Linked DNA regions of Drosophila melanogaster. Changing the gene in region 2 together with the main gene of any one other region gives a genetic interaction. Each region holds a gene or a part of one and is shown on either strand. Other genes may lie near its edges.

Region 1 (7,541 bases), on a different chromosome or scaffold from region 2:
AACAATTCTATAATCTAAAATCTTTAAATTAATAGAGACATTCCTAATTTATATTAAATAGTTTTTAGCAACAAATAAAATACCTCCTATATACCTTTGTATATAGTTATATTTCTGTAATGGACCAAAATTTGTATAGGTAAGTTACATATTTTTGATAGGTGTTCAAAAAGCTTGATAAAAAAAACAAATCGAAAAATTTCCATATATTTGGGCTCTTATTTTTTGCAATAGATGATGTGGGTATGTTGTTGTTTGATTGTCAATGAAAATAGCTGAGCTTGTGAGCCACCTACATATATGTATGTTCGGCATATACATACATACATATGTATATATAAATCGGGGAATATACCTAGAGATATGTAGTGGTAAACTGGCTGGCAACGCCGTCAACAAATGAAAACTCCCCAGGGAGTTGGCGCATGTTTGTTGCTGTTGCTACCGTTGGATGTTGCTGCTGCCTCGTTGCCCGGCGCTTTTCTCGAGGGGATTGGCCAGAGAGCCGTTGCCGACTCCCCTGAGAAATACATGGCAATGGGTTTTCTGTGTTTTGTGCTTTTTTCGCGCGCCCCTCGCCGGGCACATTGGTGCGACAGAGATGGCTGCAAAAAGAGCAAGCCAAAGTTCGCTTTTTTATACGTTGGGGAAATTTTCATGCCCCAGCATGAGGATATCTCTCTCTGTCTCTCGCTCTCTCTCTCTCCCTCTACCGCCCGTCTCTGTGTGTGTGTGTGTGAGTTAGTTTGTGTGTGCGCCAGTTGTCCTTGGGGGCCTCAGATCCCCCCTCAGCTGGCCACCCACAAAACCACCCACTTACACCCACCAGCCCACCTCCACCTCCACCTCCACATGCACATGTGTGCATTGGATTTATTGTCAATTTTATTTGTTATCATTGTTGTTGCTGCCGCTGCTGCGGCTGCTGCTTCTGCTTTTGCTCTGCTGTTATTTACACTGACACAATTTGGAATTGTATTAAAAATTAACGGCACTTTGGTTGCCTTGGCTTGGCCCGGCCGCAGAACGGAAAATGGAACCGAATCGAAAAACTGCACCGCACTCCCAGCCAGATCACAAAAATAACCAAACGGCAATACTGCGTTTTGGTCAACTAGCTTTTCATGTCCTTCAACATGTTGTCCTTGGGCCAAAATCTATGCCTAACACTTTAGGATATTCTAACTAAAAATGGATTCTTCTTCAATACGCGTAAATGTTATTGAACATAAACTGAACCAATTAACAAGAAAAAATGCAAATTAATCACCAAAGTTGACATCTTAATTAAAATCTCAGAAAGGAAATAATCTATCAAATAATATATGTAAACTTGACTAATTTATTCTTCCAATAATATTTTATTTATCCACAATATTTTTTATTTATATCAACCAAGAAAGCGTATCCCCCATTCGTCATGGAGCCGTTTTTGTTAACCATTTACTTGTTGGTTGACCAGAACACTCAATGTTTCAACCTCATACTGGGTGGGTTTGTTTGGGTTTCGGGGGTCTCTTGGCCCCCAGAGCACCTGCCTCGTCCCCGCCTTGCCCCGACCCCTCCAGCCGACCGCCCAGCCGGGTCCCAACCAGGGCTCCCTCATCCACTATGCCCTCCCCCCCTCCCCCCTCTTTGGTCGCTCTCTATCACTGACAGTTAGGTGTGTTGATCCCTGGGGATTGACCAATGCCTGCAAGCTGCTGGGCTGCAGCCGGTTTGGGTACGGAATGGGATTGGGATGGTACGGCATGGTATGCTCTGGCCGGGAATCGGTAGTCGAAACTGGAGGGCAGGGGAAATGGGCAATAGCCCAACCGGACCGGATTGTGGGCCATAGCAGGCCGAGGCCATTTGCATTTGTCACATTTTGCGGTCCCGCGAGCAAAGTTTGGCAGAGTAATGTTGTGTCCACTCCACCCCTCCCCCCCACCTTTGGGGTTTATCAAAGCAAATCAATCAGATGCACGCACACACAAACAGAGACAAACACACGGAGTACACTCGTAAGCAGTGGGACATGCTGGAACACACTCAGGATATGGAAATGGAGACCATGTCAGTTGGTGGCCACCTGGGGATTCGAGTCCTGCCACTGACCACTGGCGCCCAACTTACGTTTGAGACAGGCGCGCGGCTTGGCCTGTTTGCGTCGGGACATGGCCACGTTGGCTATTTAAATCACTGTTTCCGTTTCCGTTTATAAAGCTGCTTTAGTTTGATTTGACTTGATTTGATTTGATTTGGCTTGAGTGGGCCTAGCTCGCCGTGCGGCTTCCGTTTCGCGCCAAAGCGATTTGTTTTGGTTTTTTGTGTCACAGCCAGCGAGTCCTGGCAAACGCAGCGAATATCCTTGTGCCTTGAGCGTCGGCAACTGACTGAATGCTGGCCCAAAAAAGGTGGCATCAAAACAGAAGCTCTTAAAACAAAATGGTATGTCCACAGCGCAGTCGCGAACAATAAAAGAGCGACAGAGATTGGCAGAGAGAGCAATCAGATGCGGAGAGAGCAGGATGAGGTGGTAGAACAGAGCCACCCAAGAACTCCCAGACATCCAAGCAGTGAACCATCTATCAGTGCTGAACTTATTCCCCTGGGGGTTGCTTCGCTTCCATCCCCTAGAGAATACCGGCGCGGCACCAATCACGAGCGTTTCTGGGTGCCTTTTGAAGAGCCAGGGAACCCGGTAGCCCGGTAGCCCAGCAGCCCGGGAACCCATGCCGACTGCTCACAGTGTGATAGATTCTTCTATTTTGTTGCCCTCCCCGCTCGCCTGTTGCAATTATAAAGTCAAGTCAATTATTTTATAGCCGACTTTCGCACGTGCGTATGGGGGGTCCATCAAAAGGGGCGCGATCTCGAGGCGATTTCGATTCTCCCAAGGTGCCCTGCGAATTGCAGTTTCCACTTGGTTTCTCAGCAGCGGGATAACCAACGCACACCGCTCAGCTCCTTGGTGCACCGTGAGAAACGTGTCCAGAAGCAGAAATTCTAGTGCTTTGGCAGCGGGTGACGACGACATGGGCAATGGATCCTTTGTTGTGCCATCCACTCATCCATATTTCAGGAGTACCACACGCTTGGGATACGAAAGGTGATGTGGTGAGACTCATTAAAGGCAAAGATTGGTATGGAATGAATTAAGGAATGATTTAAAGTTGTGCTAAAGACAAAGTAAGATAAACCAACTGTGAATCCAGAATGTGTTAGAGAATGAATTTAAATTCTGTTTTAGTTAGAGATCAAACTGTGACCTTGAAATCGTTCTTATGTTCTTATGTTATATATTTATATATCTTTTGTTACTTCGCCGTTTGTTGTTTAAAGTATACGTTTTCATATGGGGACTTAACGTTGCACATATTACTAAATTGTTTAGAAAAATTCTTGGAAATTAGTGGTATACATTAAACCTCAAAATTGGAAAATAAAACTTATTTTCCCAAGCGGATTATTTGTTGGCAAATTGTGAGTGCACTCACCACTGGAGTGGTGTTTTTACATATTTTTTTCATTTTTTTTTTACATTACATTTTAAGAACTTGGAAGCATATAAAGGTATATTATTGCACATAGTACAGAAATAGTAAGACAGCTGAACGAATTATATATTTTGATGAAGATGAATTAGTAATACTATTGTATTGGATATAACATTAAAATATATTTAATCGCTTACAACGATATATCTTTTACATATTTCAATATTTATTGGATATTCAGGATTCTAAATAATAGATCTTGTGGATGGTTTTCGCTGAATGCGAACAAAAGAAATTCAATTACTGACCAAAATTATGCTAGACCGATTGAATTCATTTTTCGCCGCCGCAATTCGCCTTGCTTTGAATGTTAGGCGCCACCTACAGTAATTTCTTGAAAACTGTTTGGTAGCGACTGGCGCTGTGACTCCATAGATGTCGCTGGTGTGACACTTAAAGGCAACGGTATGTTTAAAATAAATATATTTCCTCTTAAAGTCAAATTGCATAAGAGATTAAAAAAATTTGATGTACAATTAATAAACAAACAATGGCGTAATAATTGTTTTTAGACGGTACCCTTTAGTTTTGCGTAGTGTAGTTTAGCTTTAATAGTGTTTAATTGCGTAGTCAAAGTCGAAGTAAAATAAATAAGAGCAGTGATTTAAAAATGGGAATACAAAAAACCGAATTTTTTCAAATGCACCAAAACCATTTGTTTAAACATATTGATAGGATCACAATAGAGATCTTGATAATAAATATTTAAATGCTTAACCATAAATCTCCAAAAAAAACTTCGTTATCCCATTCTTATCCTCGATATCTCATCCTGGCACCTTGGGCACTTCCTCTCTTGGGATCCCAGAGATCTACATGAAAATTTGATACGCATATGTCGCGGAAATCGATCGATCGAGGGTCCAGTTCCGGATACATTATTCGTTCGCCACGCAACTCCCTCGCCTGATTCCATTCATGTATTCATTCATCAGAGGCCTCGATTGCGCTTGGAACCTCCGTGCCCCATACTTACTCCTTACTCCCTACTGCCTACTCCTTACTCCCTGCTCCTTACTCCATTGTTTACTATCGTCGAAGATGCGTAGTAAAAGTAGCGGCGAGCAGCGCCAGTTAACCCAGTGTCTGCGATCTGAGAAGATCGTCGCAAATCGGAGGAGCGGACGAAGAAGGTTCGGACGAAAGAAAAAAGGAGAAGAAACATCTGTCGCCACGAAGAAATCCGGTTGCAAGCTGCAACACCACCGGCTCAAAATGAGCAACAACACAGAGAACATATGATTGAACTGCCCGAATGCCGCATAAAAATGGGTAAAAAACGAAAAATCGAAACGCACCTTTTGTGTTTTTGTTTTTTTTTTTTTTGTTTTTGGAGCAGCTGCCGTTGCTGTCGGTGCTTCGTCGCCGTTGCGGAGGATCGACGGGTTTGGGGGGAGCACCAGACTCTGCACTCGGCAGCCTGTTGATGAGCCCACAATGCGCACATGCTGCAAGCTATTCGTGCCGCGGATGATATGGGCTCTGTGTTGAGCCGGCGGGTCCTCCATAATGATAAGTGCCCGTCGAGGAGGCCGTCCACATTAAATTCGGCGTTTGTCGCTCAATGGCAGCTGCCACCGATTCCTTCGGCGGCTTAAGCAAATCCAAAGGACTGGACGCGAGGGACGAGCTTGAGTGTCGAAAGTTCAGATAGGTCAAGTTGTCAAAATATTCGGAGACAGTTGTCGGTGCTTTTCGATTCATTCATAAAATTTGCGAGGCTCTGATCGCTGAATGAATTTGGCAATTCGCCTTGCAAGGCAATAAAATTATAAAATAAGGTTTATCAGCAGGTTAAGAATCATTAACATTGTTATTCCTTATTTTTTATAAATATTTATTTGGCATAAAAGTATATCAGTCATCAGAATTTTATTCGTGGTTAAATTGTCAAACTTCTGCTGCATATTTCCACTGGCACTGCCTTTTGTTATCCGTTTCCTGTTTCAGAATTCGCACTAGTCATCCTAGCAGTCAACATCCCTTTTGGCGCCCTTAAATGTGAACATATGCCGCCTGTTTGTTTTGTTTCGGCTATGTCACCCTTATGGTTGCTTTTTCTCTCACTGCAATATTGGGTTATATGGTACATGTTTTCATTTTTCAAAAACACCAGGCTTAATCTGAGCCCAAAAAATTGCATTTGAGTATAAAAATTATACAAAAATAAATAAATATTTTTAAATTTTGTTTTATATTTGAAAATATATATATGATTTGAAAATATGATATATTTTGCATGACTTTTATTTCATTAGTGTCTAGCTTATCCTTTATCTCTTATTTTTCCCATCGATCCGACAACGCTCGCCACTCTCGCATGTCATTTGCCAGATGTGGCAGCCCGCAGGCACAAATTTTGAAAGTGGTGCCCAGAATGCGATGAGGACAAGCAAGGCTCATTCGAAATTTGTGCGTGCAACGCGAAGGACGTGCCGCTCCGTAGCTCGCTGTCCCGCTCTCGCTCTCCCCGCTCTCTCGCTCTGTCGCACGCGTTCGCCGCTTGGCATTTGTTGTTTGCCACATTTTCGCGGCACCCCAAAAAATCGTGAAAATACAAATACAATACGAGTGCGAAAGTCGAATATCGGCAGAAGTTAGTGCGACCTTTGGTGACGTCAGAGGCTGGGAAAAATCGCCAGGATGTCTACCAATCAGCAGCAGCAGGCGAATCCTTCGGCGGCCGTTGCCGCACCCGCCGCCTCCTCGGAATACCTGAAACGCACCTGCCTCATCTGCGGCTGCCACACCAACCAGACGATCAATATCTACGAGCCCCGCTCCGGACCCAATATCGTTCAGCTAATCCAGGCGAAATTCAAGTTTCAGGTATGGATTTTTCCCAACTTAGAGCAAAAAAAATAAAAACTCAGTTAGGCGGGGAACGTATAAAAATCGATATTGGGGCAACTCGGCGGATGAGTCATGCAACGAAGGAACGTCCTTCGGACAAAGTTTTCCCTCTGCGCGTGTATCCGTGTGTGTTTTTTTTTTTGGGTTAAAAGGGGATGAACTTCGCTGGGCGGAAAATGGGAAAATGGGTGGCACTTCTATAGGCAGGTACAGGTAACTCCCTCACAGCAGCCCACTGGGAAAAAAAGAGTGGCAAGCTATTTGATGATTGATTTCGAGCGCAGTTTTCTAATATTTTTAAGTGATTATTTGCAAAGAACTAAGGTCTCGGAATTAGTAGTTCTATCACAAACTACTTTCTTAATGAAAATTTCAAAATCCTTTATCCCTATTAGTTTTGTGGTATGCCCACCTTTTCCTGTGCCCTTTAAACTGCATATCCTGTCGCCGAGCAGATGATGCATTTCCCCGACAACCTTTGGTAATTGGACACTTTGCATATGTGCCAGTGCCACAGAGCCGCCACTTAGTTCGATTCCTTTCCCATAATTTTTAACAGCTTGTTCTAATATGCGAGCAGTGCGGTGTGTGTGTGTGTGGGAAATGCGACAGCGGAAGATGGCCAGGGAAATCGATCCTGGCTGAAGATCCTGGGCTTGTTTTTCTGTGGAAGTGAGTTTCGGGTCTCGGATTACAGGCACTCCTCCTCACTCAAATGACTACCCATGACTACCTGTACCGGCGGCGCACACATAAACCTGCTCGAAAGGGCAGATGTGCTGTGGATTTGCCGAGATTGCTCCAATTTCTGCGGGCAGTGAACGAACCCGGTGTGTTCGTTCTCTTCGTTTCCATATCCCAAAACGACAGCTGTATTTGCCGGTCGGCACTCAAAATCCAACCCATCGGGGTTTCTGGATCCTCTGCTGCTGCTGCTGCTGCTTCTTTATCAGCTCTTCATGGTCTCGAGTGAGTTTTTTCGCATATCAACTATTGAACTCGGATACCTGGATGCGAGTTCACAGTTTATTGTTTGTGAGACGAAGGGATTTTCCCCAGCAGCATTGGTGGTTGAACCCTTGGAGAATGCCAAATATCTTTGGATAGAAATTCCGGTTTCTTAAGCTGCGCAAATCCAAACAAAGG
Region 2 (5,880 bases):
TTATTTTTTCATTGAAGACTCTTCTATAAAGCTGTTTGTTTAGGAAAATGCTTTAGGCTATAAACTTCTGAAGCTTATATTTTGAGTATGGAGTTCTCCTATTTCGTGGAGACTATTATTTTGTCATTTCTTAGGAAGAAAGCATGGGTTGTTGCGTACGTGATTAAAGTCATATTTCTAATTCGAAGTACAAAAACAATTAAATACTGCAATTATCTATTTCGATATTATCAATATAAATATTGAATACAATACATTGTTTAGAAAGTAGAAAATGGAGTAATCAATGTTAACATTAAGAGAATTCCAACCACAATGGTATTTTCGCTTTATTCTGACGGCATTGGCCATATTTATTTCATCAGTTGGCAAAGCATCTCTGGGTTCGCGAACAAACACAATAGTATTTAAGTTTGTCGATTATTTTCAACGTTTGGGCGAATGGACGTGGACTATTGGAATGTCGGCTTTCAAACAAATAACAATTGTTCTTATCAGAATTGCTTGAGGTGTGTGTGCGTGTGACTCTCTCTCCCCCTCCTACTTATAGCATTTGCATTCTCCTTGTTGAGCCGATAGTGTCCTTTCACCCTTTTTTACTTGGAGTATACAAGTATTGGTATTTTTCTGCGTTTCAGTTATTCTTTTTAAGGCAAACACCTACCTAAATAATTGATAAAAACAAAAAGCTAGCAAACCCAAACACACACACACACACGCACGCACACAGCGACGGAAAGAGCGCATGAGAGAGGAATTGTCCGTCTGGCATTTTGACGTTTATTACTTTGCCTGTATTGTTGTTGCTGCTGCCTTTGCATTGCCTCTTTTTTTGTTGCCTTTGCGCGCGAATTCGCTGCGCATAGCAAATTAAAATTAAAAGTTTGCGAGAGCGAGAGAGTGCAACAAAAAAGCAGGGAAAAAATATCAAAATTAATTTCTTTTCGGCGTGGCGGGAGAGAGAAGGACAGAGCGGAGAGAGAGAGGGAGAACGAGCAAAAAAGAGAGAGAGAGCGCGCGACGACATGACGAACTTTTGACACATTTTGTTTATAACAATTGTCTGCTTTTTGCACTTACCTCTTTTTCGTTTGCTTCAATTGCTCCTCTCTGCTGGTGACTACAACTTAATATTGTTTTGTGTGCGAAATCAGAAATGCCAGTTTAAACATTATTTAACACAAATACGTTTACGCACACTAGCATATATGCTGTAGTAATTTGTTGTTGTTGCTGTGCTGTTGGTGGTGGTGGCGATGGTGATAAAGCCTTGCCGTTTTAGACGATTTCTGGTCTCCTCGCATTAAATATGTTTAGTTTCCATTACTGTTTGTTGTTGTTGTGATTGTTGTTATGTGGTGTATTAATAAAAAACGTACGCGAACTGCAGTCAAAGTCACTCACACTCACACTCACACGCACGCACACACTGGCACACGGCATACGGCACACACAAACGCACGCACGCACACACACAGCAACTAGTAATTCTGCTGTGCGAAAGAGACAACATGAGAGCGCTTACGAAAAAAATGTTTGTGTAAGTTTCCCCGAAAACGCGATTTCATCCGGAAAATGCACTGCGCTCGCATTTCGCCTCCGCCGCGTTGGCCATTTAATCACTTTATATGGTTCCGTTTCGATTGCATTGTTTTTAGTAGGGGTTTTTAACCGAAATTTAGTTGCGTGTTTTGTGTTGGTGCAGAGAGAGCAGGAAAATACACATATCGTTATCGATGGGTCGGCTATCGATACGGCAACTATCGCCCAGCTGATTGGCGGGCGATCAGCTGTGCGACGATAGGTCCAGTTCTGGAAAATGTCGGTACCGCATATTTGCTAAAAATTTCGATTTTCTCTTACTTAATGAATGATTTTTGGAACCGGTTTGTCTAACGATCTGAGTTTTATCTAGCAATGTGTTTATCCGAGCGTTTTTGAAAATTCATAAGCAGTTTTCAGTGTTGGTTTTCAACACTGGTTTCTTATCTCAATGTCTAATCCAGAAAACCCAATTTTGGAATGGGCAAGTATCTTAATGGGAAATATGATATACCTATATAATCTAATCTACACTTAGCTTGAATGAATATCTATTGAATCCAATTATCTTATTTGTCGGTACAAAATAATGATAAGAATCTACGAATGAATCTATGATAAATCCTTATTGATTTAAATAGCGGATTAAGGCACAACGAATCCTCTAATATATGTCAATTATAGTACTATGCACTGGATTTCTGCACCTGTTATCAGAATTCCGTTAAGAAGTATACTTATCAAAATCGAATAATTTCACAATTTTAAATATTTCTATGTTATCCACATCAATTTTTGGCATCCCTGCCGCCCCCGCAGTGTGGCCGTATGCGCTGATAGTGGGCGCCGCAGCGAACAGCTGATAGGGCTGCAGCATATAAATGAGCAGGTGGTAAATAAATGTTTTTAGTTGATTCCAAGACGCCATTCCGTGCGCGTTGGCTTCCTGATCAGAGTTTATCATTCGGCGGGCGCGGCCATCATTAGATTAGATCGACATTAGTGCGTTCCGCTCGGCGATCGGCAGCAATCGATCCGAAATAAACAAACGCTCGCGTATTTACATAATTTAAGTGAAAAGTAACGACGACAGAATGACGAACACCGATGTGCGAAAGAGAAAAGTAAGGAAAAGGTCAAAAGGGCAATCCACAGCACAAATTTAATGCCAATTTCATGGCGCTCTCTCACACACACACGCACACATGCGAATTCCTCAAATTGCTGCTCTTTTGACGCGGAAGTAAAACATCAAATGACTCGCAGAATAATCGTTTCAAGTTCTATTCTATTCGATTGTGCCAATTTGTATCTGAAAATGTATGTTTACAAGACATTTAAATATAGATACGCAATGGCCGCTAAGCACGCTTTTGTTAACAATTATGCAAATTTTGATTTTAGTTACGAAAGAGATGACTAGTGGGTTTTCTATCAACATCTTAATGCCGGCCGGTTTATTTTGAAATATTTTCGTATTCGCATTAGGGTGACCAGTCAGCAGGAACTTTCTCATTTGCAAGGTCATTAGGGGGGGCTGATAAAAAAAAAGCATAGAAAAGTCCAACGATTCAGTTGGCAGCCGTTTCGACCGAATCTCGCTAGACAACTTTTGCAATCGCTTTCTCGCATCGGAACCCAAAGATCACAGGTACACATAGAGTGTCCCATTTCGGGGGCGATTGGATCGCATAGTTTCGACTGATTTGCATCGCAAGTGGGTGGAGAACAGGATGCGGGCAAACCGGAACCGGTTGCAAGTGAGTGCAGATAGTGCCTGGCTGCTAACGTGGCCTTAACCCTCGTGTACCTACGTGTACTCGGTACTACAATATATACTAGATACTTTTGTATCTAACTCGATATTTGTTGTTTTCACAACATCTGTGTCTAAACTTATCAGCATTTTCTAGATAGCACACTTCTACCAGCTTTCAATGTTTGTATCTTTCAACTCATTTTGTGCGTCATATTTATATATTTCAAGATACATTTATCAATTAGGGTTCTTTAAGACTTAAGATTTACTTTTCAGCTGATGCAAAATAGTGTTCGGCTTCGAAATAAATGAGTTATCTATAGAACCGATTAAAGTATTCCCCTTTATAAATGGGGAGCAGGCTTCTTAGTCACTAGATCGGCACAAAAGGCGCCTTTTATCAGTAGATTTATTGATTGCAGTAGCGTGCGCCTGGAAACATATGCGTTAAGTTCACACCCTGAATGTTTAATGAGTTTCACTTATGCCAACAGTGTAATTATTGGGAAGTAGTATGTGTATTCGAAACTAATGGGTGTACTTGATTGTATAGATATAGATATATATACCATCTACCTGTCAACTCCATTACTGCTTAATTATATATACTCGCTATTTGTGCTTTGTTTGACTACTTTTCATTGGCTTTAACTATTTTTTTTTTGCGTCAGTCGCTTACCAACAGCGTAACATTTGTTTAAACAATGGGAATTTCATCAGGTTTGTTTGGGAACTTTAATATTTGATCAAGCTAAAAGATCGCTTCGTGGCCTGCCCCACTTATGATTGTTGCCAGTGGTGCCCAGACGCGCCAATCGCCCCCGAAAACTGATTGCGTCTTATCACTGTCATATCGCCCAGAAAGCTACGCGATAAGATTCTAGTCGAATGGCCACTGGCTTCGCTGACTTCCTCAGCGAAAATGTGTAATTTGGCATGACTTTATATTTTAAGAAAATTAATAATAGCCATAGCTAAAGCCATAGAAACGCATTTTTTACTATTTTTAGTGTTTATCGTTTGTTCTTATAAGAACTAATATAAACTAGCGAAAAGTTAGGTAGAACAATAATATATACTAATCGTGGAAATATCCAAGTAATGCGCTTTAAAAGGTTATTTTGTTTGAAGTAACGGTTTTCTGTTTACCAACTGCCCTAAATTACCGTTGCCAAAAGTGTGGCCCAACCCTGGTTAACGTTATCGATGAGCCACGGACTCTGCAGCCCTGGCACATGTTAACGATAAAGCCCGTAAAATAGACCGAAAACAAGAGAAGAAATGAAATTCATTGACATTCGCAGAGATAGCAAACAGCCAGCGTGTTAATATTTGAGCAGCAAACAACTGAAATGTGTTCCGACCAAGAAACCGGCCATGCATAAATGTGGAGCCAGCAGAGGCAACGGAACGAACCATGAAATACGAATATAAGCTGGTAGACCCGATGAACTTGGCCAAGAAAAACACCATCAAATAACTGAGTAGTCGGTCACAAAACTAATTTGTCTTTCGCCTTTTCAGCTGGCCACGGATGAGAAGCCACCGCGGCGGAAAAGTAGCGGATCACCAAATGCCAGCAGTGGTGGAAACCGCGGGCCCAGCGGCCTCAAGATCTCCTTCCTGTGCCTGATCATCTCCGTCATCCTCCTGCTCTTTGTCTTTGGTGTGTACCATTTGTATTATGTAAAAGACGAAGTGCCCAAAGTTGTACTAACGAAAACCTCTGATTTTCCCACTGTTACCGTGCCCTACGCCCACGTGGAACCCCATTTTGCGCCACCCGTTCGCCGTGTTATCACTAAAAAACCCATCGCCAATAAACCAACGACTGACAACGATGCAGGCTTCGTCTCCGAGAACGCCAGTCCGTATCTGGCCCGTTTGGCCTCCAAGTTTGGCTACAGCAAGGTGCAGTATGCGGCCATCATCGATGCCGGATCGACGGGCAGCCGTGTGCTGGCCTACAAGTTCAATCGCAGCTTCATCGACAACAAACTGGTGCTGTACGAGGAGCTGTTCAAGGAGCGCAAGCCGGGTCTGAGCTCCTTCGCGGATAATCCCGCCGAGGGTGCCCACTCCATCAAACTGCTGCTGGACGAGGCCCGCGCCTTCATACCCAAGGAGCACTGGTCTTCCACACCGCTGGTTCTGAAAGCGACCGCCGGCCTGAGACTCCTGCCCGCCAGCAAGGCGGAAAACATTCTAAATGCCGTCCGAGATCTCTTCGCCAAGTCCGAGTTTAGTGTGGATATGGATGCCGTGGAGATCATGGACGGCACGGACGAGGGCATCTTCAGCTGGTTTACCGTGAACTTCCTGCTGGGCCGCCTGTCCAAGACGAACCAGGCAGCTGCCTTGGACTTGGGCGGCGGTAGCACGCAGGTAACCTTCTCGCCAACGGATCCGGACCAGGTGCCCGTGTACGATAAGTACATGCACGAGGTGGTCACGTCCAGCAAGAAGATCAACGTCTTCACGCACAGCTATCTGGGACTGGGTCTAATGGCTGCACGCCATGCTGTCTTCACGCACGGCTACAAGAAGGAGGATACGGTGCTGGAGAGCGTCTGCGTGAA

The links.
Region 1: of lilli (region 2) and phyl, changing one suppresses a phenotype caused by changing the other (phenotypic suppression), as found in Drosophila melanogaster (one study listed by BioGRID).

The regions. Positions count from the first base shown.
Region 1 is NT_033778.4:14,430,738-14,438,278, reverse strand, and holds the start of phyl (phyllopod), read left to right. Parts: upstream 1-5,941; 5' UTR 5,942-6,185; coding exon 6,186-6,371; intron 6,372-7,541. Other genes in the region: L (lobe), read right to left, coding at 2,119-2,161. UniProt on the Drosophila melanogaster protein: Essential adapter component of E3 ubiquitin ligase complexes; involved in R7 photoreceptor cell differentiation, embryonic nervous system, external sensory organ development and specification of particular muscles.
Region 2 is NT_033779.5:2,881,779-2,887,658, reverse strand, and holds the start of lilli (lilliputian), read right to left. Parts: upstream 1,731-5,880; 5' UTR 1,081-1,730; intron 1-1,080. Other genes in the region: NTPase, read left to right, coding at 2,637-2,666, 4,826-5,880. UniProt on the Drosophila melanogaster protein: Has a role in transcriptional regulation. Acts in parallel with the Ras/MAPK and the PI3K/PKB pathways in the control of cell identity and cellular growth.